Oreochromis niloticus: one gene and its partner. The protein of the gene in region 1 binds, or shares a complex with, the protein of each later gene. Links are inferred from orthologs where the notes say so. Each region holds a gene or a part of one and is shown in the gene's direction. Other genes may lie near its edges. The genes, in order: slc3a1; b(0,+)-type amino acid transporter 1.

Region 1 (16,527 bases):
GCGAGCATCTCCCCTCTTTATTTGCTCTTCGCTCCTCTCCTCCCTTCCTCCCTTCCTTCACTCAAACATTCACTGTCTTGTTGGAATGAATTTCCTTCTCCTTTCCTGTACTCGTTGCCCCTTTCTTCTTTCTAATTTCAACCCATATTATTATTTATTTATTTTTTTGTCTCTGGGAGCACGAGACCCTTTGAACACAGCGCAGCCTTTCTGGTCAGCTCTCTTCGCTCGCTATGTGCTGTTTGAGATACCGGTCACTTAAGAAATACATTTTTTTAGCTCTGAGGAATAACTTAAAATGAATCCTTAAAGTTTTTGTTTTTACCTGTCTGATACCAGTGTCATCTTGAAATAAAATGTTAAAAAAAAGGCCTTAATATCAACCGTAAGACTCTGAAATGGAGATTAAAAGACAGGTAATTATTTCATGTTATAAAGTAAGTTCATGTTGGCTGAAAAGCACTCTAAAATGGGTCAAAATCATTCCACTTTTGAAGGTACAGTTCAGAAGTTCAAACAGTGTTTGTGTAAAGCAGGCTAGATGCTTGGCTTAGGGTACTGTCTAATACTGGAAGACAGAGGAGAGAGGGAATAGAACAAAACAGAGAGGGAGGAATTCTCTGGCGGAACATTATCTTGGCCCTATGCCACTCCCAACTCAGTTGCAGGCCTCTTTCTGTCACCATCTTTCTCCCTCTCCTCGTTTCAGAGACACACTGGCTTCCACAAATTGACTTGTATGTTTTCCATCTTCACTTCCTTTCTCCTCATTCGTCACATTTTTGGTCTCTGTCCTTCTGCTGTTCTGCTCTCCCTCCTCTGTCTTTGCACAGACGTTCATGGCTATCATCAGCTCTTTTAATACCGACTTGTGTAACAACATGTCTGGTGCTGTTTTAGAGATGCTGTCTCGGCCAGGGGAGGAGGGGTTTCCGGATCTGGTAACAGTGATGAGAAACCTGTCCACTGACAGCGGCATGCCCCCTCTGCCACCAGGGGGTGGTCTTGCCAGCAAGTAAGCACCATTTGACATTTATTAAAAAAAATGATTAAAATATGAAAGTGTTAAACATCTATAATACTTCATTATGTGCTCAGACAGTGGTAATTATAGAAATGTTACAAATTTGATTTATTTTTAACAGCTACACCTTTACTCTACTTAGTCCTCCACTGTCTTGTAGCTTCGATTGATGGCTCTAACCAATACCTTATGAAATTTTTTGTATCTGTGTTCCTCTCGCAGACGCAGTGTTATTGAAGCAGTATACAACCGTCTGAACCCATACAGGGAGGAGGATGGAGTAAGTATCAGTATATATGAAACATAAGTGCTTTGTCTTTGACCATTTAGACATAAAATGCTGAAAATGTTGAGGGCACATGGCAAATTTGAATTTCAGCTGTCCTATGTCTCAAGTTTCTTTAACGTATGACTTTAAATGCACTTAGTTGGCTGTAGTTGTACATTTAAATTAACAGTTGATCAGCTAATTATGTAGTCACAGAGTAAGTGTGTACGCTCTGTGTAACATATTCCCATGAAATACCAGTGGGAGATCTTCTTTTGTTAATCTTATGTTGATTCATCTCATGTGGTGGCCTAAGCTGGTGATTTATAGACAAAGTATAAAATTACTGACTTAAGATGTGGCTTTGAGCCCATCCCCTTTCAGTTATGTTAAATGCTGTTTTTCTCTACGCGTGGTGCAAGATGATACAGCTTTGTCAGGAAATGTTTGAGTGGAACTATGAAGTTGCAAGTGAAGACATTCATTTTCAGGTTATCTGCTTCAAATAGGCTTTTTTTTAAATCATTTATTTTATTTGCCTCCACCGTTTGGAGCTTTCTTTATCCTATCAGAAAAGTGTATGAAGACTCTTTAGTTAGGCTTTTAAGTGCAGTTATCTGACACTGGTATGAGAAGTTTTCCCATGTTTGAGCATGAGAATGTGATATGTGAATGTACATTTCTAAATTTACTTTGCTGCTGAATGGTAGATTTTGCTCTGCATCCTTCAGCTTTAGTGTCTTTATGTGTAATTTGAATTTTTTTTAAATTTGCCAATATGAACACAGACATTCACGCTCTCATACTGACACCCATTCACATACTGAATGAGGTAGTAAATCTACAATAAAATAATAGCAGATAAAGGCAAATACTAACAACAAATAGAAAAGAAAAACATCCACCTTTTAAAGCTTTCAAGTTTAATGTTTAATAAAAGAGTTTCCCCTGTAAGCCTGGTTTTCAAATGTTGTAGTGGTTGTAAGTGACAGTGACAGGAGATACTGTGCAGTGACTTTGACAGTGCTGTTTAACTCATTACATTACCTTCTGCTTTTTCTACTGGCAGAAGTTTTCCACTTTAGTCAGCATTTTAAAATTTGTGTCCTCATATTCGCCTTTTGTAAGTGACATATGTAGACACTGTTTTATACAGCATGTGCATAAAAAATGGAATCCAAAATTATGTCCCAAGGAAAATATTGACTTATTTTTATTTGCCAGTAAAGACAGACACCCTTTGTTACTCTGATTTTTTTTTTTTCTACAACCATAGACTGTATATGAAAGATAGCAATGGATAATTTAGTTTCGAACTCTGCATTTTAAATTCTTCAGTGTAAGCATTTTGGCTACCACAACTTTGGTGTTGGAGGCAGAAGTGACCTTATTTGGACAATAAGGGTGTGTACTAAGCTAGCAACTGGCAAACTTAGTTGACAGTTTGTAGACTCCACTGGTGCAATACACACACTACTGCTAATTAGTGCTAAATAATAGACTAATAAAATACTAGGGTATGAGTAAACAACACTGAAGGACAAACACACGGATTGTACTGCACAAGACACCAAGCTGTGTTATTTGTCAGATAATAAAGGCACCAACAGCACACACAGGCTGTTCAATTTATTGACTAAACTTAGTGACTGATTTAGATTCTGTTTGTGGAATTCTGACAGGGGATGGTAGCTAAGATGGCTATTTTCACACCCTAGATAAACTGAGGTATGAAGCACCAGTGTAAGAAAAATAAAGATTGTTTGAACTGAATCATGCAAAGCTTCTACTAGGGCCGAAATGAACATAATGGGTCCAGTTTACTTGAGGTGGATTGCTATAATAAGCTTTTCACTAATGTTTAATGGAAAGTTTAAAAAATGTCCAGGTGTTCTTTTCTAACTAGCAGCTTCATGTTCTTTGAGGTAATGGACAGTGCCAAGGCACTTGTTGAGCCAGGTTTTTAACCTGCATTTACATTTGCAGGTTACAACACATAAGCTCATTATAACCATAGAGGAGGAAAAACAATCAGCTTATATAAACAGTATTGTTATTGTTGTCCTCTTTCAAATATAGGCCTGTTTCTCTATTTTTATTATTATTATCATTATTATTAAGGGTAAACTGTTTGAGTGCTTATGAAATGGTTGCACTCCAAGTTTTGTCCAAGGATTCAGTGTTTTCTACAGAGATGGAAAATATGGAATTTTAAATCTTGGATTTTGCAGCTGTTGTTACCTGCATGCATATTTCACACAAACATGTCCTTTGACAATCACGACATGAAAAAAGGGGATCAAATATACATAAAGAAGTTAACTGCACAATTTACTGATTTCTTTTTCTTTTTCTTTTTTGTGGACCCATTTATTTTTTCTTTTTAAAAAAGAGAGAAATTTTTGATTGTTTTCACTATTTACTTGCCACTTAATTACTTTTGGTATAGTACGAATGGCCATTGGAGGGTCTGTTAAATTCATGAAAATATAGTTAAAAGTCCAAAATTTATGTCTTCCTTCACATTTATCATAGCGGTCCAGTGGGCCGGATTGGAGTCTGTGTCGGTGCAATTTTGGCCCCTGGGCCTTATGTTTGAGACCCCTGTTGCAGTAAATGGCTTACAGTACTGCATGTGTTAATGTATGTATGTAAATGTTTTTAAAGGATTGATAAGTTTTGTGTCTGTGAGAGAATCTCACACTGAGATTGAGGCCACTATTGTATTGTTTAGAATGATAAGCACTGCAGTGTCCTTAAAGAGCTCTACCTGCATATAAGGGGTCTTGTGTGGTGTGGGTGTGTGTGTGTGTCCTGTTAGCTGGATGTGATATTTGCCTCATGGTGTTGTCTTGGATTTTCTGTAATGAGTTAGAGGTACTGTGATTGTTTGCTTTGTGTACACATAATCATAGAAAAGAAATCCACACATGAAACGGATATCGGCACAGTGGGTAGGTTCTGTGTGTGACTGTACACTGTAACAAAAAGTTTTGAGTGCTACCACCTGCTAGGTGTTAGGAGAAAGAAACAAGGCTGCTTGTCATAACATTGTCAAATAGAGCCATCCTAGTTTAACCTTGACAGGTTTCTTTGTCTACATTAAGTGGCTAAGCCGTCCTCTACAGCTGCTGGAAAGAAGCATGTCATAGTAGCTCAATTAGTGCTGGTTGCACCCTTCATTTAAACATATTTTGCACATGGTGTGTAGTAAGGTACGCACCTGTAGTCACACAAACATTGACAAGGGATGTATCTATTGTCTAACTGTGTGTTCACCCTCTGATTAACGCAGCCCTCCTGTTTCATTTGGTAAGTGATCACATATATAACTGTTACACCCCCACCTCCCCCTTTTCCAACCCCTCATCTACACACATGCATACAACCACACATGCACACATGTGTACAAACACACATTCTTACAGGCATGTAAGTGGTGACCTGCTACACAAATCCTCCCTGTCACACCTTCATCTGTCTCTACTCCCTTCTCTGATCTGCTGTCCTGCATGTGGAGGTCCATTTAGAGTTTAAGGCGTGTTCATGTGGACGTCTGCAGACATGATTGTCGAGGTCTGATGAGGATGAATGATAAAGGTGTTTCTAGTCCTGTCCGTCCCCCCCTCTCACGTCACAGGCATACAAACACGCATGCACTGTTCCTACACGCATGCATTGCTGTCTCACTCAGTCTTTCAGCAGCTGCACGCAACTATACAACAGTCTTTGTTTCTGTGTCCCTCCTCGAAATAAGACGGAAGGCCTTGCAGTTGTTTTGTTGGAATATGTTAAAGAAAGACTCCGGAGACCGAGGTTGAAGATGTTTACTGCCTCACGCTGCTGTTGTAACAGCATTGTAAATATATTGTGTTGTTTCTTTGTTGAGTTGTGTTGGTCATAAGGAAAACTGACCTTCAGGTCTGGGTTTGGGGGAATAAATCCTTGAGTTTCACTTTTAAAATGTTTTGTTTAGTTTTTGTTTTTTGCTTTTTATAAAAAATGTCTTTTTTTTTCTCCCCACCCTTCTTCTCCTTCCTTTGTTTCCTGACTTTTCTCTTATTTCTTCTTCCTCTATTTTACTCTTCTTGTCTTCCCTGTTTTCTCCTCTCCCTCCTTTCCTTTTGCAGAGTGGAGCGGAATTGGAGTACCACTGGTAGCTGTCCAGTGCAACTGCCTGATCGAAAATACAGGACCACTATACCACATGAGATTACATTCATTGTCACCTTTTAATTTTTTCTGTAATTCTTTTTTTTCCCACACTGAGAATAACTGAAGCTGAAATCTTGGTTTTAAAAACACCTAATGTGGAGGACTGCAAAACTGTTTTTTTTTTTTTTTGTTTGTTTGTTTTTTTTAATAGAAAAAAATGGAGGGGGAGGGGGGGACACTGCGTTCATGTTCTGACTCAAGAACTGAATCTACAATATAAACAGAGCGAGGAGGAGAGGCCAACAAGCACAGTTTCTCTTGCCCCTTGTTTTCTTTTTTTTTTTTTTTTTTTTGTGGATTTGCAGAGACATAGGACACAGGTCTGAATCTTTTAGGGTTCTGTGGTGCCTTGCTTAGACCAGAGAGAGAGAGAAGGGAGGACCTCACAACTCGCCAGCCAGCCACGACCAAAACCAACCACTAGTGGATTCATTGTAAACACTGAGAAGGCTTAAAGTGGTTTGTGGCATTATTTCTTTGGAAGTGTGAACTTTTTCTTGCATCTGACGGGGAGTTGATCGACCACACAAGCCTGCAACTCAACTACACACCTTAAGCTACACTGTCCAGTTCAGGATCTGGGCATTACTGGTACACAAACAGGGGCCAACACTTCACTTACCAATGGACATGGCTCACTGGAGATCACCTTACAGAACTCACAGAAATGTAATAAAAATAACTAAATGAATCACTATCCAAAGACCTTGAGGTTAAAGCCTCAAATTCAGGGTCTGAAAGCCTGAGAATCCACACCTGACCATAAGGGGAGCACTTATGTGAGAGACTTTTTGGCACCAAATCCCAGTTTGGTTCCTGGATATTATGTCCAGACTTAAATGGGACGTGGACTGGTTTGCCCAGCTGCAAATACATTAAACTTGAGCGTGATAGCGACTCTTCTTGCACGTCTGCTTACTTTCTGTCTGCTCATCTCTTTCAGGATATTGTCACTTGATTTGTCACTCTTCCCTTCTGTCTGCCTTATTTTTTAAAAAAAATTTTGTTTTAACTTCAGTTTCTTTGCCTCTTCATGGGGCAGAAAAGACTCGGCTCTCATTTTGCATTTGCAGACAATGCCAGAATCATAAGCTTTTGAGCCTGCTGTTGTTGAAGATATTATAGAAAGATAGAAACTGTATATGAAATTCATAAATATAAAAAATATATATAGAGAGATATCTATATAGACAGAAATATTTTGATTTGTTTGTTGTCACTTAAATTCCCAGCCATGGTATTCATTGCGGCCTAATGTCGAAAAAAAAAAAAAAGAAGGGGGGGAAAACACCTCCCCACCCAATAAAAAAACCCCATGATGCTGCACACACCGTTCCCACACAGCAGCGTTCCAAAGACAGGGTTTGGGGTAAAGGAATTCCAACCGCCCCCTCATCCTTAACACATGCGCACACACAATCCTGCTCATGCTACAGCTTGCCTTTTTCTATCTCTCTGATATCCTGTGTGTGTATATATATTAAAAAAAGAAGAAAAAACAAAAAATACCTTTTTTTTTGGTTTAGATTGTAAACATTTATTACCTTAAATATATGCTTTTTTTGGTATACTTTTTTTTTTAATTACTATTGCTGTGGTCCTGTTACAAATGGATAAAGAAAACAACAAGAGGAACCTGAAACATACCTTTTACAACATATTGGGAGACTTGGGTTTTGGCTATTCACTGTATGAAGTCAAAGGAGGGACACTGTAGGCAGAGGAGAAGGGGTTCTACACTGAGAGTTAAATTCACAGTCACTGAATTGGTGTCCTTTTTCTTTTTTCCCCTCTTTTCCCCACAACCACCTTCATTGACTTTACCTTGAAGGCACAGGACAGTTGCTGATTTAGGTTGGGTTTGGGTTTACCAGGAGTCTTTTGTGTTAACCTAAGCACTAAAAAAGTGATGGAAGCTTTAGAAATGGATATTTGTCAGGAAAGAACTCAAGTCTTTTACAGTGTGCGCACACATGCATTGTCTATGTGTGTGTGTAGTATTTAGATGGGGTTAAAATATGCTATAAATACAGAATCATTTAATGGCATGTAATGTGCTTTCTGAAGTGGCAGTATTGGAAGAGAATACACCTGACAGAGATTGCTGGCTGGTTAATGTTATTGTGGTACACTTGCTCTTGGTGCCATATGACAAATAGGTACTTGAATGTGTAGTTCTTTTGCAGTTACAGTTGTTTTATTGCAATGATATAACTTTTCTTTGTGGTGGAGGGAGTGGGAGGGGTGGTATCTCCTATTGGTGCATGTTTTGTGATTGAGGAAGGAGTGTAATTTGCGTGTGATATGCACTGGGTGGGTGGGTGGGTGGGTGATAATGTGGACAATGTTCAGTGTGGTGAAACACAATGTTGGAGAGGAAAGGCAGTGATAGAGGAACAACCTGTAGATGAACTGGAGCACAAATGAGGATATTAATTCACTTTTAGGGACTTAACGTACAAATTAGATTTCCCTTAACTTTAAAACCCTAAACCACATGTTTCCCACCATTCCCATTGTGGACATTGTCATATCTCATATTCGCATACTTTTTAACATTGTGCAAGCTTTTACCACACTGAACATGGTCTTCAGTTTAGGTTTTTGTTTAAGCTATATCAGACACTGGGCTTGGAGAGAATTTAAGGGAGGGAAGGACAGAGACATTTATTTTTCTGAATGTAATTCTTCATTACTCACACTGATTCCACTGCATGGACTGAATACAAGCAGCACTGCAGCATCACATTCTCTCCTCATCGGTCATTTAATGGCAGAACAAGCTACCTTGGCTTCCTTTGTTTAAAAAACAAAACAAAAAAAAAAGTATATACTTGATCATTATTCTGATTGTGGAATATAATGTCAGAACTTATGTGGGAAGACATAAGATAAAGGAGACTTTGAAAGTTTGGCAATGCCTGGATAATTTGACCCTGACTTGTTGCTATGATTTAACGTTCTGTTGAGTAAAGAGAATTTTACAAGCATTTGGTCTCCTGAACCTGTCGGTTATTTTTGGGCCGGGTTGAAGGTTTACATTCCCTGTGGGCTTTTTAGCATAGACATGTGTTTCTGGTCACTCTTCATATACAAGTAGAAATTCCAGGGGTTTTTTTTCAGGACATTGTTTTAGCTCCTAAAACATCAGAAAATCATCACCTTTGTGCACCATCCCTTCGTCCAGCGTGCTTTATAATGTTGAAAGACCAAATGATGAACATAAATGTCAATAAAAGACTGAAAGGTTTAAACAGCTATGCTTTTTGCAGTTTTAGTTTGAAATGTCAGCTATTATTATGTATGCAATTAAAGTTCAGCACAACACAACAGCAAAGCTGTATTTTATGTATATTTTTTTCAGTTTAGGATCTGTGAGCTGTGAAAAGAAATGTTAATCAACACATTGTTGAAGCAAGCAAGAGGGCGTTTTGTACAAGAATAAGTTACCATATAGGTCAGAAAAGAGAGCAGCGAGTCTAACATTAAGATTGAAAGACTGACACAGGCACACAAATGTGTCAAGGGTTCTTTTTTGTAATTTATCATAAGTCACAAGATGGTAAATCGGTGGCAATAATAACAGAAGATCGATTCCTAGAAATCTGAGATACTGTAAAGGGCAAATTGAAAAGGAATTCTATCATTTGTAAATCTTAAATGTATTTTCTTCATAAGGGAAAATAGAAAACATCAAATGCTTAAAATGAAAAAATGTAGCATTAAAAAAAAGTCCCCAAAATGTTTATACATTTTTAGCATCCCTTCTTCTCTCGACAACAGTTCATAAACTTGTAGGAACTGAGACCAGTTCCAAAGGTTTTCAGTTTGGTCTTTAATCTGTATGGAGGGGTCAGGGGATAGAGGTCACCAAAAACACACTGCCAGTACAGTTAAGAAGCCTGGTCAACCATTCCTAAAGACTTCTTTAAAAAATTACAAAAATGCTTATCTAAGAGAGGCTGTGTTAAAAAAATAAAAAAATAAATAAAGGTGATCACACCAAATATACACTTGTTAGAACAAAGTCAGATTTCTGCCAGCGTTAAGAAGTTTAAGTACACATTAAATCCCTGAGATAAGATAAGATAAACAAGTGCAATTTCAGCAGTACATCCTTCTACATGATAAATGTGTAAAAAATAAAGACAGATAAAGTTCTGCTAGCTCACTGTCTCGAACGTCCCGTATTTATGAACCATAAAGTTTTTGTTAATTGACAGCAAATTTTTCTATTTAGTTTGCAGAAATTTCTAAAGATGGTAAAAAAAACAGGAATACTGTACTTCTGTCATTACGTAATGGATACACAATTAAAACACTTTATTGTAGTATGAATGACTGTGACAGAAGTTATTTATCAGCAGGAAAAGCTGTAAAATTGGGCGTCCTATGGGCCAGGTTGGAGACTTTGTCACATTTTGGCCCCAGAACTTTAAGTTGAACACCCTTGATTTAGGGTGTATTTTATGTATATATATTTTTTTCAGTTTAAGATCTGTGAGCTGTGAAAAGAAATGTTAATCAACACATGATGCGTTTTCTAGAATTAAAGAAATGGAGTAGCTCTTGGGGTTTTGAAAGTTCACAAATCCCAAAATAGGAAACACATTTAGTTCAGGTGCAACTTTATCGCCTACAATGTTAAAAGGCAACTTGCGCCTCGGTGCTTTTGTTTGGTTTGGAAGGTTACATTTGAAGTAACTGATGTCTCAGTCGTAGTTAATACTGTGTACTGAAAAAATGCTAATCTGTAACCAGTCCCATCAACTCTCCACTTTCCCACATTCCACAGGTGTGTCAGAGACGGGCTCTACTCCGTGTACTATGACCCTCTGACTGTATTATCTTTAATGTGCGCTCTCCGAGTCACTCATTGTTCTTGAGGCGAGCTACACAACCCGACACGGTTCGTTTTAACAAACAACATGAGTTATAGAAAAGACTCCGACAGCGTGGAGCTCGGGGAATGCACCAGAAACCCGGGTTACAAGGATGCAGACGGAGACGGGCCAGCAGCGAGGGACAACATCAGCGTCTCCGACAGCGAGGAGAAGCGGGACTCCATCGGCGTGAAGCGGCTCTCGGACGCGCGAGATGAGTACACGCAGATCAAACCGTACGCCGGGATGCCTAAGGAGGTGCTGGTGCTGTACTCCTCTAAGGCCCGGTACCGAGTGCCCCGAGAGATCCTGTTCTGGCTAACGGTGTGCTGCACCCTGGCTCTGGTGGCGGTCACCATCGCGGTGATCGCGCTTTCTCCGAAGTGCCTGAGCTGGTGGCAGGCCTCCCCGGTGTACCAGATTTACCCCCGGTCCTTCAAAGACTCCGACGGGGATGGGGTGGGAGACCTCAAAGGTAAGACACCCGAGGCACTACTGCAAGTTCTGATAACGACTGTTCGAAGATTTTCATTAAAACAGGTGTTCTTATACACGACACCAATGACGCTCCGCTTCCCACAGTGGAAGGCAAATACTGTTACACTTTTGAGTCACTTAGAGCATTTCCATATTATATTGTGCATTTCAAACTACTGTACTTTTAACACCTTTAGGCCATATTATAAATACTTCCCCATATACTCTTATAGATTATACTTATAGAGTAGCCTACTATTGAAATCCTGCAAAATCGCTGTGATTTTTTTTTGCCAGTTAAAGCCTTCTATGAACTCTTGAGGCTCCATTTTTTAAAACAATGTAGCACCCTTTCTGAGATGGTGTATACTTTGCCAAATTCTTGTAAATCCACAATGTCCTGGTAGATTTTTCACTCTGTCAATCTAACAGCTGCTCTTATCAATTTCTTATGTTTGGTCACTTATACAAGAGTAAATTATTAACTTTATTTAACCATTAATAATAATAATAAACTATACAAAGGGAATGGTAAAACTGCATTTGGTTGTTTTCAATGGCTCATTTATAATATTAAATATGCAGATGCTTTTTAGAGGGAAATGACAGTGCTCTCATTATATTGCATTATTTCCTATAAAAAAAATTACTAATGCATGCTTTCAGTACTCTCTTTTCCTATCCATAGTCCTTCAGTCTATTAGGACTGAATTTCAGCACCGAGTGGTTACAGTAGATCCTGTATCTCCCGTCTGACAGGCATCAAGGAGAAGCTGGACCACTTTGAATACCTTAACATCAAGTCAATTTGGATCAGCCCTTTCTACCGTTCTCCCATGAAAGACTTTGGGTATGATGTGGAGGACTTCCGTGATATTGATCCACTCTTTGGAACCATGAAGGACTTTGAGGAACTCCTGGCAACAATGCACAGCAAAGGTGTGCACTTTGAATACCCTTGTTTATGTGAAAATGTGACGCTAGAAGGTGATTTTGGGGGGTATGAGTGTTTTTTTATAGCAGGCTGCATGTCTGACACACAAATACCTGTCTCCATTTCCACCAGGTTTGAGGCTAATCATGGATTTCATTCCCAATCATACCAGTGATCGACACCGCTGGTTCAACTTGAGCCGGACTAGAGATCCTCACTATGAGGATTATTACGTGTGGACTGACTGCAAACCAGACGGACCGAAGCCTAATAACTGGGTTGGTGCTTGTTCTGTTCTTTTCTAGCTGGTCTATGATTTTGTCTTCTTCACATTTTCACTGAACCTTCACCAAGTTCATAGTACTAAACAGGTGCAATGTACTGGAATTTATATCAGATTTGTTTCCCATCTTGCACTCAGGTGAGTATCTTTGGGAACTCATCATGGACATACGATGAAGTTAGAGGGCAGTGCTACCTCCACCAGTTTCTCAAGGAGCAACCAGACCTGAACTTCAGAAACCCAGATGTCATCAATGAGATGATTGTAAGAACTGTATTATCATTCTTGTGTCCTCTGTCCACCTTTAACAGTAATGTGTGACACACTGATTACACATTAACTTGTACCAGTTAACCTATATGTTTTTAATTGTGGCTGCACACAGCGCAAAGTACAACATAAGCAATAATGGGCTGTACATAAACATTATTTCTACTCAACTGTCTTTGCTATAGTTAAATGATTTTATCTTTCTGCAGCCTTTTCACACATAATGTAGATGCTAGTTTAACTGCTCTATATGCATTTCTTTTTCTCAATTTTAGGATATTATTCATTTCTGGCTGGATAAGGGAGTGGATGGCTTCAGAATGGATGCAGTGAAGCACATGCTGGAGGCTCCACACATGAGGGATGAACCACAGGTTGATCCAAACAAACCACCCGTGAGTGTTAAACTACACATCTAACCTCATTGGTTTTGCTGAGTTCAGCTAAAATGACTCGTCACTAATGGGCGCCGCTCGTGTCAGACAACAAAACCTGCTGGCTTTGTGCTAGCTGCCATCTGCTCACACACTGACTTGACAAAGACGGTCAAATAGCTGACATTTTCATTTTTAATAGTGATAGACAGAGTGGGTGTAACAGGTGAAGGTGTAGCAGTTGTTTAGTGACAGTTGTGATTAAATGATTTTGAGTCTTTTCACAAGAACACATTCATTTGCAGTACTTTTATGACAGTACAGTAAACTCATTGTCATGTACAAGTTTGATCTAAACCTTGTGACATTGTGTGCTATCCTGCTAGAAGCAGCCATCAATAGATGAAATAACACTCAGAAAATATATCTCCAACAACATTACACCACCACCACTAGCCTGAACCTTTGATAAAAGTCATGATAGATCCATGCTTTCATGTGAATTGTAGCCTCAGTTTACAGGAGTGACAACCAGCGTGGTCTTCTGCTGCTGTAGCTCATCTGCTTCAGGGTTCAAGTTTTTAGGTATTCAGAGACGCTCTTATGCATACCTTATTTGTGATGATGTTTTTTTGAATCACTGTTGCATTCATATCCGCTCAAAGCAGTCGGGCCATTTTCCTCTGACATAAAAGCGCTAGGACTTTCAAGAATTTTTAAGTTGGGATTTGTTATGATGCAAAATCAATTTTAAGATTATGCATTTGTTTTGGTAAAAGATTAACCACCAGGTTGATTTACCCCTAAGTCTGGGCTCACTTTGCCCGACAGCCACCACTGTGGAAAAAGAAAACCAGAGCCACGTTTTGGCTAAAGCAATCCCATGTGTTTACTCACTGGCACTTCATCAACATGTGATATAACTTTATAACCTAAGATAAATAGCTTTTGATGTGAAACTGATAGATGATATCTGTTATGCCAATAAAATCTTTGACAGGCAAAAAGCATTTTACGGTGAAAAACCTTTAAATATATCTACTTCATCTATAAGGTTCTTTGTTCTGCAGTAAGTTGAAAAAGGAAAATGCTCAACAAATTTGGGGTTAAATGACAAGAACTGTGCATCGTTGCTCAGATAAAGGTGGTGGATGAACTTAACAGTTCTAAGAATCAAAGCTGTAACTTAGAGTTATGCAGTCATAATTTGATTTTATTGACTTATGTAATTATCTGAAATGTCAGAGTCCAAAATTTAACGATCTGATCCATGAAAGCAGTACTGTGTGCAGAAGCAGCTTCACTGAAGAAGAACTTTCCCTTGTTGCTAGTAGAATAAAAATAATCAAAAGCTGAGTGGGACTGTACACACTGTGTATGATGTATCACTGATTATTTATCTCTAGCTTAAATGTCAACTTCATAGTCATGTGAAGAACACACTGTTTGTGAAACTCAAAGGGTTCGTGATACATGCTGAATTAAGGTCAAAGAGGCTGAAGATATTTCTCACAGGGGAAAGATTAGAAGCAAAGGAGCATATTTTGGTGGATTAGCAAGTCATTAGGAGTTTACTTACGACTGCAGGGTAAAACCATAACACTGGGACTCTTTTACTCACTGATGACTGAGAATTTATACCCACAGATTTGCAGTTAAGTTACATTTTTACAATCTGATCATGTTTAACCATGAGGTAATTTTTAAACCAAACAACTCTTTGCCATCTTAGAAACAGTAACGCATTTTTACAAACCACTGGAACTACAATTCTGCAATCGAGAAAGATATCTAAAAGTTTATAGGCATATTAAGAATTTTATCACACCCTGAGTTGTGATTCAGCTAAATACGAATCAGAAACCATCTGCCTCTACATTATTGCTTTAGTGGTTTATGCTGTGGTTGCTGTTGGCTGAATGGTTCACTTGCCTGACATTAGGCCAGCTTAATGGCTTGAGATTATCTTTCAAAAAAGACATGCACATTAGGTGTAATTTTAGAACTGTGACATCACTGTCTCTGTGCAGGTCTATGGCTGATTCCCTTAAATCTGTAAACCCAATGCTTTACACTCTGGTAACGCCAATAGTTGTCCAGTGAGTCAGATTTCCTCAGCGCCTCCATAATTAGAACTTAACAGAATGTTTTTTCTTCCTTTGCCTTTCTCGCCCATTTTATTTGGACAGTTACAAAAATAAAAAGTGTGAAGAATTAGCAGAAACTTTCTTAATCCACAGTTTCTTACTCAGCAAACTTTGCTCATAGAAAATACAAACTCTAACTCCAGCACACAGCCTGAAAGTAGCTAAGCTATACTAAAATTGCATAATCACTACATAACCTTTTACATATTTCTATCCAGGAGTTGGTAACTACAGAGTGGGATCTCCACAGTGACTACACCACCAGTCAGGTGGGCTTGCATGACATACTGAGGGAGTTTAGAGCACAGATGGACATCTACAGTCAAGAGCCTGGCAGATACAGGTAGGAAAGTGATTAAGTGCATTCAATATTACTATGGCAGAACAGATAAACTTGTAATGCACTCGCCTACTTAATTATTACTACCTGTAATTATCATGTCACAAACATCCTTAATATTAAAGACCTTTTGCTTATACAATGCACTAATGTTCAAACCAAACTATTTCATTAAATATGCTAATAAAAGCAACTTGAAATCTAGAATAAGGAATTGAGCCCAGATTTTTTTTAATTATTTCAAATAGTAGGATAAACAAAATCAGCTAATAGACAATATCCTGACACAAGTCATTGTGGTTTCTGTGTCATATCACATGCAAAATAAATTCCTCCTGTGCTGCAGATTCATGGTAATAGAGTCATACGATTATGAAGAGGTGTACAAGACCATGATGTACTATGGCACCAAGCTGGAAAAGGAAGGTGACTTCCCCTTTAACTTTTACCTGCTGGATCTACCCCAAAACACCAGTGGAGCATGGGCTAAGCATCTGGTCCACCTCTGGATGGGCAACATGCCCAAAGGAAAATGGCCCAACTGGGTGGTGAGTTCTTAAACTCATATTTATATATTTATTTCCTCGCTTTTTACAATGGTAAAAACCACAGGATCAGTAGCGTCATGTCCTGCATAATGTGGCACATAACATGCTGAAATCATCAGATTAAGGAATGTGTCAGCAGCATTCATAAGAATGAACTGTCGAGTCATCCTTAGTAGACTGTCTGCCTGAGATCATGCTTCTGCTGTCGTATCTTTCTAACCACAGGTCGGTTTATGTGTTTGTTAATCATCAACCCCTTTGCAGTGATAGTTTGACAAACACTAGGCAATTAAATTAAATTTGTCAATACAAAAACCCTCCTGTAAAGCTAAATAATTAGTAGCTGAGTAAAAGTAAATTAAGCATGTTTATTTTCTGTAATTACTATTGATTAGGCTCAAAAGTATAGCCTTTTTACTTTATGTCCATCTCCAGACTTTAGCACCTAACACATATTAAGAAAACAAATATGTGTGCATATCTCTTTCCTGAATGACCTAACCCATCCCTTTCAGCCCACCTCCTTACTTCCTAATTTCTTATTCAACCCGCTGTCTTGTTTTTCTCTTACCTACACTGTTATCAGGTTGGAAACCATGACAGGACTCGGATTTCTTCCAGTGCTGGTCAACTCTATGTTCGTGCCATCAACATGCTGCTGCTGACCCTTCCAGGCACAGCCACCACCTACTACGGCGAGGAGATCGGCATGGAGAACATTAACGTGACAGCAAGTCAGATACAAGACCCAGCCGGCAAATACA
Region 2 (16,289 bases), on another chromosome or scaffold:
AGCCAAAAAACAACCCTGTTTTGGGAGTCAATAACAAGACTGCACCAGCTTTTACCAATTGCTCTCTTATTGCCTGTTCAGTTTGTAACACTTTTCTTTTGGCTTTACTAAACTTTAGAAATTCAACTGTAAGAGGACTTTTAACAATCGCTTCTGTCAGCTGTGAAGGCTTTAAAGGCACTAATCTTTAGAGTTAACATCACCAGATAACTGATATATTTGTAATCCATTTTATTGCACTCACCTGATAGCTGCATATGACAAGTTGCCAAGAGAGAAACTGTGGTAATGTATGATGAAGTCACAAGTGGCAGAGAAGTATGTGAGGCTGGTACAGGGCATGAATGTGGGGGTGGGATTGCATCAGGGATCATCTCTGAGCCCCCTGTTGTTTGCAGTGGTGATGAACAGGTTGACAGATGGGGTCAAGCATGAGTCTCTGCAGACTGTGATGTTTGCAGATGACAAGACAGAATATGTGTGTGAATGAGGGGGAGACAGGTGTACAGGTGAACAGGCAGATTTTAAATACCTGATGGAAGAATAGCAGAAAGAGTGAAAGGGAAGTTTTACAAGATGGTAGTGAGAGCTGCTATGATGTGTGGTTTGTGAGGTGGTGGTACTGACATAAATCACAGGAGGCTGAGCTGAAGGTCGTAGGATTTTCATTGGGAGTGACAAGACTGGAAATAAGTACATCTGGGGGACAGCTCAGTTTGAAAACAAAGTTAGAGAGCCAATGCTGAGCTTGTTTGGAAATGTGAAGAGAAAGAATATAGGATATATTCAACAAAGGATGGAGAAGCCAGGCAGGAGGCAAAGACCTTGAGAAGAATTGTGGATAAAGTGAAGGAGGACATGCAGGGGGTTGGTGTGACAGAGGATACTTTGGCTGGGCTGAAATGGAGGCAGATTATCTGCTGTGGTGACCCCTAAAGGGAGCAGTCAGAAGAAGAATTGTAGGACTGTCAGGTGTTTTCATCTTGTTGTTGCTTTGATGCTTCTTTTTTAAAAATTTATAGCACATAGATGCCTAATCATGGAATAATTCCTAAATATTTCAAAAGAAAACATGAAGATATTTTTGCCTTTTTCTGCTAGATTTATCCAACTAATTTCCTCCTTGTTTAGAATTACTGCAACGTAAACAATGCCTTGCATTCATTGCTTATCCCAGCCGATCTGAAATGAAAATTATTTAAATTAAAGGTTGCAACTACTCCAACAGTTTTTACTAAGCAAATTAAGTGACATTAAACCCTTAAATGCACTTTGATCAATTAATACAGCTCATGATCTCTATTTAGGAAGCTTATATAAATATATGCTCTCAAGGCAACAACTTGATAAGATTTTATTACACCAGCGTGATAGTGTAATAGTTCTGCGTGATCGTTCGGCGTGATAGTTCAGCTCGGGGTCAAACAGGCTGTTGAAATGTCAAATCGTATCAGCAATGCATGTCATTATAATGTTTCCTGTTATAGAAACTGGTTTCGTGTATCCTCTGCTGTAGGCGGTAATAAAGGACAGTTTATTATCAGTTCTGTCCTCTCGCTTAAAGAAAATAGTCATTCAGCTTAAGCCAGTTTCTTTTCCCATTAATGTGCTCCCTTTGATCCTTTTTAAAGAGCTCTGGAAGACTATTGGACCAATCGTTCAGACCACTGTTTAAATTAAATACCCCGTTCAGACTAATATTAATAAGCTGTGGTACTCCTGCTGATTAAAACATAAATCTCAGTGCTTTGGTTTTCTCTAATTTTAGACTTATTTAAAAACTGCCATACATACCTAAAGTTTTAGAGAAAACTGTACTTTTAGAACAGCAGTTCTTTTTAGGCACTCGCAGTATTTAAGTTTTCTAGTCTGGTCTGAAAATCATCCATGTTTTTGTGAATTCTAAATGGTCTTTTACTAACTAACTTGCATGACTTCACTATTATTGTGCTTTTAAATCTTACTGATGCTTCTGACGCAGTGAACTACACCAATCTCATGTCCTGTGTAGAACACTAGGGCATCAAGGGTGGTTTAGGTCCTATTTATCACAGAGAACCTTCTCGGCTCGTCTTGGTGACCTTCCTTCCTCAACCATTCACAAGGTTTAATTCTTGGGCCAATTCTCTTCTCTCTTTATTCTTTCCCTATGGGACTAATTGCAGATGATACCGTAATTTACGTGCCAATAAAAAGAAACCATGTCAGCTCCCTTAAACCACTGCTGGTGGCTTTAAATACTTATAAGCCTGGGTGGCCTTAAAGGTTTTTTTCATTTAAGTAAACTGAGGTCATTCTGTTCACATCAAGTGGTGTCTGTACTGCTCCTCTCCTGGGCCTTCAGCTAAACCTACAGTGACAATCCAAAGTGTCGAATTAGATGGGCAGATTATTTCTGTTCTTGAAGCAAGATTTTACCTGCTGAGCCTTTTATTCAAGGCGAAATCTACTTAAGCTTTTTTTTTTTTTTTAAACAAATTTCTTAGTCATGCTTTTATGATAAAACATCTGGACTACTTTAATGCACTTTACGTTGCCTTTAGCAACACTTCACTTACTCGTCTGCAGTTAGTCCGGTTTTTTTTTTTTTTAAACCTTTAAAAGATCAGCACCAACTTGGGTATCCAAGCTGCTGACGATTAATTTTAATAGAATTTTATTACTAACTCTCACTAGTCTAACCCAGGTTGCTTCCCTCAGTTTGGCTCCTTTCTTGGTAAAACTGTTTCACTGCTTTTTTTTTTTCCATCACTGGACCAGGCCTTTGTCTTCTTGAGGGCATCCAACCAGTCTACATGCATTTTGTGGACTTTAAGGGAACTGGCCTATTATTGCAGGGAATTTGGTCCTTGTATTACGATAGCTTGGTTTGCATCAGAAATCCAGTTTGCAGATTGGATGACAGTTAGCTCCACCAAGTATAAAGCAGCTGTTTTTAACTGGAAAAAACCATGAGAAAATGATGGCCCATGTTGTTCTTGGTTTAAAAGAGCCTGATCTCTGACGTGCTTCTTTTAGGTACACAATCAAAGGGATACAGAACCTGATATTTTACGGATTGCCCTCCTTCCCACACTTCTACAGCGAGGTGTGTAACATGCTGGCAACAGCAAGTCAGGGGGAGGAGGCCAGCTGGACCTGCACGGCACTCTACTCGCGCTACGACGCTCACAAACTGGCCGCCATCACCGGAGCACAGCGAGCAGGACAGATGCTGAACTCCAACAAGGCTGTTCACCTCTTTGTCACGGGAGGGGAAGACAAAAATGTATGATGACACTGGATAGATATGAGAAGGACGGCTGGAGTAAATTGAGCATAGGTGTTTACCATGCTTAATAATCAGGAAAGTTTCCACATGCACCAGAAAACATGTTTATTGGCCTTGTTGTTGCAGGAGACCATAAAACATTCCTTTCATTTGTAAAGAGATTATTAAGTTGTCACTGGTAAGAAGAAAGAGTTGGATGTTTATTATTAAAAAACTTTTCTTATCTTTTACTTGATTAAAGTTCATGCATAGCAATATGTGACCTAACACGGCCATGAAGTGCCAAAATAATTGCATAATAGTTTTCATGAGGTGATCATGCAGTAATTTAATGAGAATTTCAAGCCAAAAAACCTGCTAGACTAGCTTTGGATGATTTACAGTTCAGATTAATCCTCATAAAACTTAATCAAAGACAGTGTAGATTAAAACCTCAATGTCACCGTGAGAATCATGGACATAAATGTGGAGCGACTAAAGCTCACAAACTCAACATGTAAATGTTGATGTTGAGGGTCCAAAGGAATGAGAAGACCCCCATTTCAGACAGGTCATTGAAGGTGACAACACTATTCTTACAGGTTGTTTATTTAATTCCAGTTCGCTCCTGTTTTATGACTACTAAACAAGCAAAGGTGGGGAGATGATAACCGCCTTTAAGCATCAAGAAACCCCCAGCAAAGCAAGGCTCGCGGAGGGGTAACAATCTATTACATCGGGTTTGGGGCATGAGGGGAAAAATGAGAGAGCTGGAGGAGTATATAGAGGCCACTATCAATTGAAACAATACATTAAACGAGAACAGAAAGGGTAATGCATGCAGAAAGGTGCAAAAATAATGGTGAACCATAGATTATGACCCATTTTTTCCCCTCTTTTTATTAAATGCAGCTGATCTAAGCGGATGTCACTGATAAGTCCTAGGCTTAAGTTTTCGTGGGGGTAAGGAGACTATTTTAGAGCTTTAAATTGGTCTTTTTATAAAACAGTCTAATTTCCATTAGAATAACAAATGCGTAAAATGAAGTCTAGTCTTATCCTAAAAACTGATCTAGAGTATGTTTGTGAAACCAGCCCTTGTCCAGAGGAGACTGAAAGCTGAAGGCTCTACCTCCCATTTTGCAGTCTCACAGTGATGTGCTCTATCGGGATAATATGTTATTAGCGGGTAACATAACATCTCAAGGCCAGTGAAGGAGTACAACAGAGAGTCTTTGTGGTCTGATTTACATACTTCTGACTCAGGGCTGCTTAGGTGCTGTGCATCTCTGTCATCCCTGAAGCAGCCAATAAGAAAAGCCCAACAAACATATGAGGCCGTGTGAGAATACCAAGCAAAACAGGTGGTTGTATGAGCCGCCCACATAATTATTAACTCCTTGTGTTGATGCAATAGTGACTTTGGTCACGCTATTATTGTGTTTTCTCCACTGTTAAAGGTGTCAGATTGTAAGCAGCTGTGTAACTGCAGTGATGACGGAAGAAAAGCCGCAGAAGCTCAAACTAAAGCGGGAGCTGGGGATGCTGGGAGCCGTGTCCCTCATCGTGGGGACAGCGGTCGGATCTGGGATCTTCATGACCCCGCAGACGGTGATCAGCTCCATTGGGAGCCCCGGTGCCAGCCTGGTGATATGGGCGTCCTGCGGCTTGCTGGCAATTCTGGCGTCGTTCTGCTACGCCGAGCTCGGCACAGTTATCAGAGAATCAGGGGGCGAGTACATCTACATTCTGAGGACTTCAGGTCCAGTGCTTGCCTTCATGTTAATCTTTAGCTCTGTGCTCTTTGTGAGACCTGCAGCCATTGCTGGCATGGGACTGAGTTTTGCCACCTATGTTGCAACTCCTTTCTACGGAGACTGCCCCCCTCCGGTGCTGGTGGTGAAGTGCGTGGCTGCAGCGGCAATTATCACGCTCGCCATCGTGAACTGCATGAATGTTCGCTTTGCAATGTCAATCCAAGTTTTCTTTACTGTAGTCAAAGTCTTGGCTCTGACAGGGATTATCATAGGAGGTGTGGTGATGCTTATCAAAGGCCACACTGAGAATTTTGAAAACTCCTTTGAGAACACAAATGTTGGCGTCAATTCAATAGGAATTGCTTTCTACCAGGGGCTGTGGTCATACGACGGCTGGAACAATCTGAACTCAGTGACTGAAGAGTTAAAACGTCCCGAGGTAAGTGGGAGGGTCTTCAGAGGCTGACCCACGCCCTGACTGTAAAACACAATCACCCCGAATAAATAAGTAATGGTTTCTCTGCAGGGAGAAAATAATTTATTTTTATTGCTTAGAAACAAATGTTTAACGTGAACTTTGAGCTATAACCGGCTGAGACCTTTGTGTTGAGGCCAGAGAAGCACAGTAGCGACAGAGGTAATAAATGAATAAACTGTTTAATTTCAGATCTATTATCTGTTAGTAGTGTGTATTATGAACATCACATAGAGAAAAAAAAAAATTTTCTGTTGATATTCTTCCTATTTCTAATCTTTCGGTAGCATAATAAGACCATAAACTTAAATCAATAGTTTCTTATCGTAAAACTTAACAAGAAGGGCGAGCACAAACCCCCACCAAGGCAGTTCATTTACTTTTAAGGGATTAGTGTTAAATTTAGTTCATATTCATTTTATTTTTTTCTTTTTAAAAGTACTCTGAGAAGTTTGTAGTGCAGGTTTTTATTTGCCCCGTTGAAACACATTTTAATAAACAACATAATTTGAGTATAATTACTTTTTATTTCCCCTGAGCCATAAAATGCAGATGAGGTATTGTCATCACACAGGCGGGCGGGCGACGTGGGCACCCAAGTTTGTGAATGCAATAACGACATAGGAGTAGGCATTGATTTAATTATTAGGTCAAATTAATTTGTGTTTAGTAATAAAGACCAAGTGAAAAACAATGATAACTTTTATCTTTTTTCTCTTATTCAGGAACATTGTACATGTATCACACTGTTATTATTTAAACGTTTTAAATCTTGGTACCTTTAAGAGTCAGCTGTCAATTTTCAACCAATAAATCATTAAACTGACCTTGGGGATAATTCAGTGATTTAATGTCTTACATAGATGGATGTAGCCCAGATGTTGGATGATATATTAATGGATTGTTAACATGAGCCCATTAAATGATTATTGTGTTTTTCTCCTGAAGTCAAGATACACTCTGTGGTTCTGTATTCAGGTTTAGATCCGTTTGCATTTATTTATTTAGTTTATTTGGCTCAATTATAATTTAAAAGATTTGATTTTGAATGTATTTATTTAAACGGGACAGTGGATATTAATGTAAATATGTCAGAGTTAGCCAAACAGCAAGTGAAGCAAAAGCAATAAAAAAGACATTTAACACAACATCAGACAATGAACAAGAATCTTGCTCAGACAACAAGAATATTAGAGGCTGTTCTTTTCTTTCTAAACATTCAGCAGGGAATCAAATACATTATTTCTCCCCTATCAAAAAAAATCTATTTTCCCTTTCAGAATATAACAGAATAATAGTTACTAATTTTCCTAATCTATTGGTCCACACGTGTTTATCCCAGAGTAGACGAATATTTCTAGGAATTGGTTTCCTGATAAGATGTGGCTCAAGGTTAAAATCCCCTAATAAATATTTTTGAGTACAACAGCAACTTTAAATCTGGTGTTTTGTGTGTTAGTTGGGGCATCTCGCAGCAAGAAGTTGAGTGCCTTTAAACAGTTCATGATGCAAAAATCTCATCTCAACCCACAGTTTGCACTGGAGAGTTTGTGGTTTTGCTGGATTTACAGCGCTATAACCTGGTAGTTAGGAATGTGCTAAGTCATGCAGAACTGCTCATGCTGTTCATGAGACCATATTGCTAAGCAGTTTTGTATTTTCTCATATTTTTATTTTTAGCTTTTTAGTTTCTAAAAATGTGAAAACCTAAGAGAAAAGAACAACTTTAAACAGGCATGCATATAACAGCATATAACAGCCATGCTGCTGATAGCCTCACCTTACTTTTCGTAGCTGTATAATTATGTGTGCTCCTCCTCTTATGTAACAGACGTTTTACAACTACAGGTGTTTATTCTTGTCCGCTGCTTCTAAGAAGACGAAAACTTTCTAAACATGGGAGATGACACAAATGGACTCAATCTGCAGAGGGAAGTGGGGATCATAGGAGCAATTTCCTTCATTGGTGGGACCATGATTGGATCTGGGATCTTCATTTCTCCCCAGTACGTCCTTTCCACTATTGGGAGCCCAGGGGCCAGCTTCATTATATGGTCCTGCTGTGGACTGATAGCCATGCTGGGGGGGCTGTGCTATGCTGAACTGGGAACTATCATACCAGAGTCTGGAGCCGAGTACATTTACATACTGCGGACTGCAGGGAAAGTGGTGGCCTTCATGTTCGTCTTCAGCTTCATCATGGTCATGAGGCCGGCTAGTGGCACAGGAATCGCTCTCAGCTTTGCTGAATACGCTGTGGCCCCCTTTTACAGCGGCTGCACTCCTCCACAGCTGGCTGTGAAGTTCGTGGCTGCCGGATCAATCTTGGTGCTGGCTATAATCAACTGTCTGAATGTCCGCTTGGCCACTGGCATCCAGGTGGTCACCATGGCAGTGAAGGTGGTGGCCCTGGTGGTGATCATCCTGGGAGGCATTGTGATGCTTTTCCAGGGCCACACTGAGAACTTTGAGGACTCCTTTGAGGGAACCAATGTAGGGGTCAGCTCCATTGGCATTGCTTTCTATCAGGGCTTGTGGTCATATGATGGCTGGAACACTTTAAACTATTTAACTGAGGAGGTGAAACATCCAGAAGTAAGTCTGTGTAGGTTTGCAGTAATCTAACTCATGGTGGTCTTAAGAGCTTCAAAAACTGGTACTTTTTTAACAATTTGGTTCATGTGATGACACATATGATAATTAGTAGATCAACAACTCCCTCCAATAGGGATAACCCCCACTACGGTTGAATACCTGGAACTCTTCACCTTTTCTTTTAGAACTGAAGAAGCCTCAGGGATGACAGGTAAAATGATCTTAAGGTATCAAAAAAGTAAGAATTTCAACATTTACTCTTTGTGGTTTATAGAAACACAAAAAGAATGAGATAAATCGAGCCAAAACTGTGGCTTTTTAGTCAGGATTGTATATATTTTATCTTCTTACTAAACGAGTAAGAAGATAAAATATCGTTTAGATGAGTGGACTGGACAAAGTAACATGAAAACTAATATAAATTTTAGACATGATGACCCAAGCCTGTTGGCCCTTTAGTGCAGTGGTTAGCACTTTTGCTATAGAGCAAAAAAAACGGTGGAGTTAATATTTAAATGAGGGTAACGAGTAGGTTTTACGACCCCTTGATCACATTGAGAGCTTTTTTTTTTTTTTTTTTTTTTTTTTGAAAGCCATTTCGAAGCAGTTTGTAGCGTCTGAATTCTTTGTGATCTTTCTCAGTCTGCTCTGTAGACGTGTCGCTTTGTGCTCCCTGCTCTCTATGACCATGGCGGACAAAACCCAAAAAAACGAAGGCCTGCAACTGAAGAGGGAGATTGGATTGATTGGCGGAGTAGCAATAGTTTCTGGAACCATGATTGGATCCGGTATCTTCATGTCCCCACAGTATGTCCTGGCATATGTGGGAAGTCCTGGGGCCAGCATGTTAATCTGGGTTTTTTCAGGTGTTGTGGCTTTGTTTGCAGCTCTCTCCTACACTGAGCTTGGGACCCTCATTCCTGAATCCGGTGGGGAATTTACTTACATCCTGAGGATCTATGGTTCATTCCCAGCCTTCTTCACGGCAATCACTTTTATGCTGCTTTTGAAACCTTTCAGCATTGCAGCAAAAGCAATGACCATTGCAAAGTATGTCATGGCTCCCTTTTACCCAGGCTGCCCACCTCCTCAGCTGGCTGTGAAATGCTTTGCAGCTTTTAGTATTCTGGTAGTTGCCATGACCAACATCCTGAATGTCCGACTTGCTCTGAGAGTGCAGGTGATCTTCTTGGTGGCCAAAGTGTTTTCACTCACTTTCATTGTAATTGGAGGACTAGTGGAAGTCATACAGAGCAGCACTGTGATCGAGGAAAATTTTGACGTTGAGAATGCTTTTCAAGGCACCGAGTATTCTGTGGGAACTCTGGGAATGGCTTTCTATCAAGGCCTCTGGTCTTACGGTGGCTGGTGCAACTTGAACTATGTGACTGAGGAGCTGAACAAACCAGAGGTGAGGCTGAAAGGGTCAGAAGTGACCTAAAATAGTAGCATTTATTCATTCTAAATTTTTAAAATACAGCTTAAAATCTGTCAAGAATGATTTGATGCTCTACTGCAAAAGATGCCTATATGCTGCTATATTTTCTTCCTTAACTCTGAATTTGTATTTCAGGTAATTTATTGACTTTGTCCTAACACGGGTTGTCTATAACACTCTGTAAATCAGTGATCAATGTGTCTGAGGTGTTGTATGGGGATAATAAAGGTAGATGAGAGGACATTATGTTTGGATTGCTATCACTTCGGTCCTAACTCCAATGGGGCGTGACTCCTTGGTATCAAAGACTGTACATAAAGATGTACAGTGAATATAATATATGAGGATCAAGTAACAGAATATATTTTACAACAAGAAGCATTTTGACCAACATTTTTCTGTCTCTTCAGCTTTTCCAGAACAAATACTTTGTTTTTAGTTACAGCTCCTTGCAGCATTTTATATAATAATTAGTGCTGTCAGCGTTAATCTTGTTCAAATGACGTTAACGCCATAACCGCATTAATGCGCCAAATCTCCATTAGCGAGTTACCGTGGATCGCCCCGTGCGTGGGGCTGCACAGTGTCAACGCATTAGCACAGGTAGCTCATTAACGCGTTGACGCTGTGCAGCCCCACGCACGGGGCGATCCACGGTAACTCGCTAATGGAGATTTGGCGCATTAATGCGGTTATGGCGTTAACGTCATTTGAACAAGATTAACGCTGACAGCACTAATAATAATATTACTGTTTAAATAGGAATTTAATATTTTTAAAGACTTGGTAAATTATTTAAAAATACTCCAACTTATGATAAACTTAATTTATCCTTATCTTAAATGGTTTAAACTTCAGTGTGATTGTCCTTTTTCATATTATTTCATAATAATTCACCCATTTCCACTGACTGAATTTTGCAGCTTGGTGCTTGGTGTTCTTTTCTATTATATCACACTAGAGTCTTTTTAATCAAAAGAAGAGTTCAACTTTGGAGAGCATTTTTAACTACATGGTTTAGCAAAGTATTAAAGAAAGTAAATATTCAACTTAGTTTTATGTTATTCTGTTGGACCGCTTAAATTGGTACAAGGGAGAACCAGGCCAAGTCATGCCCATCCTCTGATAACATTGTCATGCAGATACTCTGTTCATTTCTTCACTCAGATGAGGCCCTGTCTAATCTTTTACTAAAGTTTCAGTGTTTTTGATCTTAATGTAGGTCATGTAGATCCAGACACAAGTAAACATAATATGGACAAACACCAGAGAAAGAATTGAGGACACCAGAAGAATCCACTTGGCCTGCAGGGACATTTCCAATAGACTGGAAATATTCAAAACGGTCTATACTTTTAATTTTTCACTTCTCTGACTGTGTTTTATAGAGCAGAACCTAAAATAAATCACTGTTTACGTGAAACCTAGGAGAAAAGAACAACTCTGGACAAACAGACATCCATAAAATCTGCTTAAAAAATAGCCTGATTTTAATTTCATAGCAGTTTAATTTTGTGCACTCCTCCTATTGTGCAACAGGCAGTGTTTTATAACTGCACATGTCTGATCTTCTCTGCTGCTTCTGAGAAGACAGAGTTCTGACAATGGGACATGACACACATGGACTCAATCTGCAGAGGGAAGTGGGGATCATAGGAGCAATTTCCTTCATTGGTGGGACCATGATTGGATCTGGGATCTTCATTTCTCCCCAGTACGTCCTTTCCACTATTGGGAGCCCAGGGGCCAGCTTCATTATATGGTCCTGCTGTGGACTGATAGCCATGCTGGGGGGGCTGTGCTATGCTGAACTGGGCACTATCATACCAGAGTCTGGAGCCGAGTACATTTACATACTGCGGACTGCAGGGAAAGTGGTGGCCTTCATGTTCGTCTTCAGCTTCATCATGGTCATGAGGCCGGCTAGTGGCACAGGAATCGCTCTCAGCTTTGCTGAATACGCTGTGGCCCCCTTTTACAGCGGCTGCACTCCTCCACAGCTGGCTGTGAAGTTCGTGGCTGCCGGATCAATCTTGATGCTGGCTATAATCAACTGTCTGAATGTCCGCTTGGCCACTGGCATCCAGGTGGTCACCATGGCAGTGAAGGTGGTGGCCCTGGTGGTGATCATCCTGGGAGGCATTGTGATGCTTTTCCAGGGCCACACTGAGAACTTTGAGGACTCCTTTGAGGGAACCAACGTAGGGGTCAGCTCCATTGGCATTGCTTTCTATCAGGGCTTGTGGTCATATGATGGCTGGAACACTTTAAATTGTTTAACTGAGGAGGTGAAACATCCAGAAGTAAGAATTTCAATATTTACTATTAGAAGTTTATAGAAAGTCAAAATAAAGATGAAGCATGCCAACACTGTGCGTCTCCACTCATGATTGTGCTTTTTTTTTTTTATCTCCTTACTGATTTAGATGAGCAGGCCAGGACAAACTGTAACATAAAAACTGATACTGGTTTAGGATATAATAATCTAAGCCATAACCAACTGGTGGCTCATTGGTGCAGTGGTTAGCACTTTTTCCACACAGTTAGAAAACTGTAGAGTTAATATTTAATTGAAGCCAAAACAAGTATATTTTACACCACGTGATTTCTTTTGAAAGCTTTTTCTACGCAGTTTGTAGCGTCTGAATTCTTTGTATCTTTCTCAGTCTGCTCTGTAGACGTGTCGCTTTGTGCTCCCTGCTCTCTATGACCATGGCGGACAAAACCCAAAAAAACGAAGGCCTGCAACTGAAGAGGGAGATTGGGTTGATTGGCGGAGTAGCAATAGTTTCTGGAAGCATGATTGGAGCTGGTATCTTCATGTCCCCACAGTATGTCCTGGCATATGTGGGAAGTCCTGGGGCCAGCATGTTAATCTGGGTTTTTTCAGGTGTTGTGGCTTTGTTTGGGGCTCTCTCCTACATTGAGCTTGGGACCATTATTCCTGAATCTGGAGGGGAATTTACTTACATCCTGAGGATCTATGGTTCATTCCCAGCCTTCTTCGCGGCAATCACTTTTATCCTGCTTTTGAAACCTTCCAGCATTGCAGCAAAAGCAATGACCATTGCAAGGTATGTCATGGCTCCCTTTTACCCAGGCTGCCCACCTCCTCAGCTGGCTGTGAAATGCTTTGCAGCTTTTAGTATTCTGGTAGCTGCCATGACCAACATCCTGAATGTCCGACTTGCTCTGAGAGTGCAGGTGATCTTCTTGGTGGCCAAAGTGTTTTCACTCACTTTCATTGTAATTGGAGGGCTAGTGAAAGTTTTACAGGGCAGCACTGTGATCGAGGAAAATTTTGACGTTGAGAATGCTTTTCAAGGAACTCAGTTTTCTTTGAACACTCTGGGAAAGGCTTTACTTCAAGGTCTCTGGTCTTACGGTGGCTGGAGCAACTTGAACTATGTGACTGAGGAGCTGAACAGACCAGAGGTGAGGCTGAAAGGGTCAGAAGTGATCTGAAATAGTAGTATTTATGCACATTATATGTAAAAAAATAAAATAAAATAAAAAATACAGTTTATAACCTGTGCTTTGGTAAAGATTCTGCAGGGAATTATGATTGTTGTCTTGCTGCTATCCTGAGAAAAATGACCACTTACCTTCCCCCCCCCTAAACTCTAAATTTGTTTTTCAGGTAATTTATTGACTTTGTACCAAAACACATCCCTACAACGCTGTAAATCAGTGTTTAAAGTTTCTGAGGTGACTAAAGAGGTACACAAGTTGACATTGTTAGGATTGTTGTAATTGCAGTTCTTACTCTGAGTATGTCAAGTATAAGAAGCATGTCAACCATAATTTTTCTCTTTCTCCAAATTTTCCAGAATAAATGAAAGTTTTTTTTAATTACAGCTCTTTAAAGTGTTTAATAAAGTTTATGCCTTTTTGATTAGGAATTTAATATTTTTATTTATTCTAAGAAATTTGGGGGTAAATTAAGTTTATCTTAAGTAGTTAAAACTTCAGTGTGATCATACGTATTGTTCATGTCAGTTTATAATAATTCACCAGTTTGTCCTGTCTGCATGAAACTTGGTGCTTGGTGTTGTTTGGTGAGCTTTCCCCCCCATGGTTTGGCAAAGTATTAAAAAAAAGTAAATCTTCAAGGAGGCTTTGTTTTATCATGTGAGACTGCTTTGTTAATATATGTAATCAAGATTTAGCCAAACATAACAACCATGTCATGTCATGACATTTAATTTAATTTCATGTCATTTCTTTTTTTTGTACAGGTGAATCTTCCTCGGGCGGTGCTGATAGCCATTTCTCTTGTGACTACTTTGTACCTGCTGGTGAATGTGAGCTATCTGACAGTAATGACGCCTAAAGAGCTCATGTCCTCAAGCGCGGTAGCAGTTACCTGGGGGTAAGACAACACCTGTTCTCAACCTGATAAGACCTTTTTTTATTACTTCTCCCATAGAACAGGAAGCAAACCTGAAGAAATCCTCTTCTCTGTACAGTCATTTGATATATGCATTAAAATTACTGATGTTCAAACAAATGGGGCTTTTGTAAGTTGAAAACACAGACTATATTTAAAGATGGATGTTGCCATCCTGTCTCCATTTTGAATCCTCTTTATTAGCATGTTAGCTCCCTGCCATGTTGATACCACAGATTAAATCATCCAGCGGGATTAATTGGTGATTAATAGGTAATTTAAATCTACCCACTGTGCAAATAATTATGAAATTTATCTTACACAGTTGATGTGATTTCTCGCAAGACTCATCAATCCACTGTAAGGAAAATTACTTACGAGTCACCTCCAAACATTTCAAACATAGAAGGAATGGCAGCAAAGAGCATCACTACTGTGAGGTGCTCACTTCTAGTGTCACACAAATACCAAGAGAAATTGGACCCCTTCTCGTCACCGTCTCTATGTTCCTCCTTGGTCAGATCATCTGCCGCCACGGTCTCTGCTTCCATTCCTATGCTGATGATACACAGCTTTATCTCTGTACTAAACTCTCTACCCTGCTCCCCCACAATCACTTGTCAACTATCTGCATGAAATCAAAATATGGATGTCAATTAACCTACTCAAGCTCAACAGTAATAACGCAGAGGTCTTGGTTGAGGCCCCCAATGCACTACTCCAGAAGACTGGCCATCTACTCATTGATATAGACCAGGGGAAGGCAACTCCAGGCCTCGCGTGCCGGTCTCCTGCAGGTTTTAGATGTGTCCTTGATCCAGCACAGCTGATTTAAATGGCTACATTACCTCCTCAACAAGTCTTGAAGTTCTCCAGAGGCCTCGTAATGAACTAATCATTTGATTCAGGTGTGCTGATCCAGGGTGAGATCTAAAACCTGCAGGACACCGGCATGTGAGGCCTGGAGTTGCCTACCCCTGATATAGATGGTTTCTTCATCTGGCCTTCCCTCAAGGTTCACAGTCTGGGTGTCATTTTGGAACTCTCTCCCATATGAACTTCATAACAACCCGTCACTGGAGTCCTTCAAAAAACTTCTCAAAATTCACCTCTTCAATAAAACCTTCAATCTCTAAGCCTTTTTTATTTATTATGTTTTGTAAAGCGTCCTTGGGTTTCTTGAAAGGCGCTTTACAAGTCTAATGTATCATTATTATTATCATCATCATCATCATCATCATCGTTATTATTATTATTATTATTATTACTATTACTATTACATAGGCAGAAGGGGCCTCAGAACAGATGTTTGTAGTGTTAAACCTGGTCACACCAGCAAAGGCCCCATTCAACACCTTTCAAGATAAATATTACATTGAGGTGACATCACATCCTGTCCAAAAGGTTTATTCCTACATAAGTCCACAGAGGATGTTTTTGATTTCATTTGTTAAATTACTGAAATGTATATAGAAAAGGGTTGATTGATATGCACTATAAGATGTTTTGTAATAGAAACGGTTTCCCTGCAGGAATAAGGTGCTGGGCAGCTGGGGCTGGGTCATGTCTGTGGCCGCAGCCTTGTCAGCTTTCGGTTCTCTAAACGGGACGTTCTTCAGCGGCGGCCGTGTGTGCTTTGTTGCTGCCCGGGAAGGACACATGGTAACAGTCTCTCTGTCTCATGAGAACGCATACACCTGTTTAAAATAAAGCTACATGCAGATTTTCACACAGACCTGTGCTGGTTTTGCAGCCAGATATTCTGTCCATGGCCCACGTCCACAGACTGACTCCATCTCCGGCGCTGATCTTCACCACAATAATCTCTCTGGTGGTGCTGATTCCTGGAGACTTTCAGAGTATCGTCAACTACTTCAGGTGAAGGCTGACTCTGTTTCTGCTCCATTTCGACTTCGTTTGTTTTTTAACACACATTGCATTTTTTTGTTTGTCTTAAATTCCTCTTCCTTTGCTGTTTTCAGTTTCACCGCCTGGTTTTTCTATGCCATTGTCCTGTCTGGGCTCATCTATCTCAAAATCAAGAAGCCGGACCTCCCAAGGCCATACAAGGTTAGTGTCATCATTTTTTTAACATTATATGACAATAACATCTTGTCCTCATGCCTGGTTCTTCCTCTCCCCACAGGTTCCCATTGTAATTCCTATACTGGTCCTCGCTGCAGCGATATTCCTCGTGCTGGCACCCATCATAGACAATCCTCAGATTGAGTACCTCTACGTGGCTTTATTTATCTTAAGTGGTGTTATAGTCTACATACCCTTCATCCATTACAAACTCTGCCCAGGAATGTTGGACAAGTTAACAGTGTTCCTGCAGCTCTTCTTAGAGGTCGCCCCTGCAGACAAAAACCTGTAATTTTTAC

What was found.
Region 2: the proteins of slc3a1 (region 1) and b(0,+)-type amino acid transporter 1 are in contact, whole or in part, in a cryo-EM structure (PDB 6LID), measured with the Homo sapiens proteins. The link is inferred for Oreochromis niloticus from reciprocal best matches to the Homo sapiens genes SLC3A1 and SLC7A9. Residues at the interface, in NP_000332.2 of Homo sapiens: Pro64, Tyr65, Ala66, Gly67, Met68, Pro69, Lys70, Leu73, Phe74, Phe76, Ser77, Tyr82, Pro85, Arg86, Phe90, Thr93, Val97, Leu100, Ile101, Ala103, Thr104, Ile107, Ile108, Ser111, Cys114, His201, Asp202, Thr373, Glu374, Pro375; in NP_001119807.1 of Homo sapiens: Cys137, Phe140, Tyr141, Val142, Gly143, Cys144, Pro147, Ile149, Val150, Cys153, Leu154, Ala156, Ala157, Leu160, Phe161, Thr164, Leu168, Thr279, Thr281, Asp295, Arg296, Tyr299, Tyr343, Val346, Arg347, Lys467, Thr470, Met471, His472, Gln474.

What each region holds. Positions count from the first base shown.
Region 1 is NC_031978.2:11,069,506-11,086,032, reverse strand, and holds the start of slc3a1 (neutral and basic amino acid transport protein rBAT), read left to right. Parts: upstream 1-10,280; 5' UTR 10,281-10,435; coding exon 10,436-10,865; intron 10,866-11,626; coding exon 11,627-11,806; intron 11,807-11,933; coding exon 11,934-12,079; intron 12,080-12,222; coding exon 12,223-12,348; intron 12,349-12,629; coding exon 12,630-12,749; intron 12,750-15,093; coding exon 15,094-15,218; intron 15,219-15,561; coding exon 15,562-15,763; intron 15,764-16,349; coding exon 16,350-16,527. Other genes in the region: ppm1ba (protein phosphatase 1B), read left to right, coding at 901-1,015, 1,247-1,304, 5,423-5,452. UniProt on the Homo sapiens protein: Acts as a chaperone that facilitates biogenesis and trafficking of functional transporter heteromers to the plasma membrane.
Region 2 is NC_031983.2:24,847,293-24,863,581, forward strand, and holds the start of b(0,+)-type amino acid transporter 1, read left to right. Parts: upstream 1-8,696; 5' UTR 8,697-8,759; coding exon 8,760-9,488; intron 9,489-10,599; exon of another isoform or gene 10,600-11,119; coding exon of another isoform or gene 11,120-11,818; intron 11,819-12,131; exon of another isoform or gene 12,132-12,181; coding exon of another isoform or gene 12,182-12,193; exon of another isoform or gene 12,194-12,221; coding exon of another isoform or gene 12,222-12,950; intron 12,951-13,753; coding exon 13,754-13,887; intron 13,888-15,437; coding exon 15,438-15,567; intron 15,568-15,658; coding exon 15,659-15,783; intron 15,784-15,887; coding exon 15,888-15,975; intron 15,976-16,051; coding exon 16,052-16,282; 3' UTR 16,283-16,289. Other genes in the region: utp25 (U3 small nucleolar RNA-associated protein 25 homolog), read left to right, coding at 3,019-3,274; b(0,+)-type amino acid transporter 1, read left to right, coding at 11,120-11,818, 12,182-12,193. UniProt on the Homo sapiens protein: Associates with SLC3A1 to form a functional transporter complex that mediates the electrogenic exchange between cationic amino acids and neutral amino acids, with a stoichiometry of 1:1.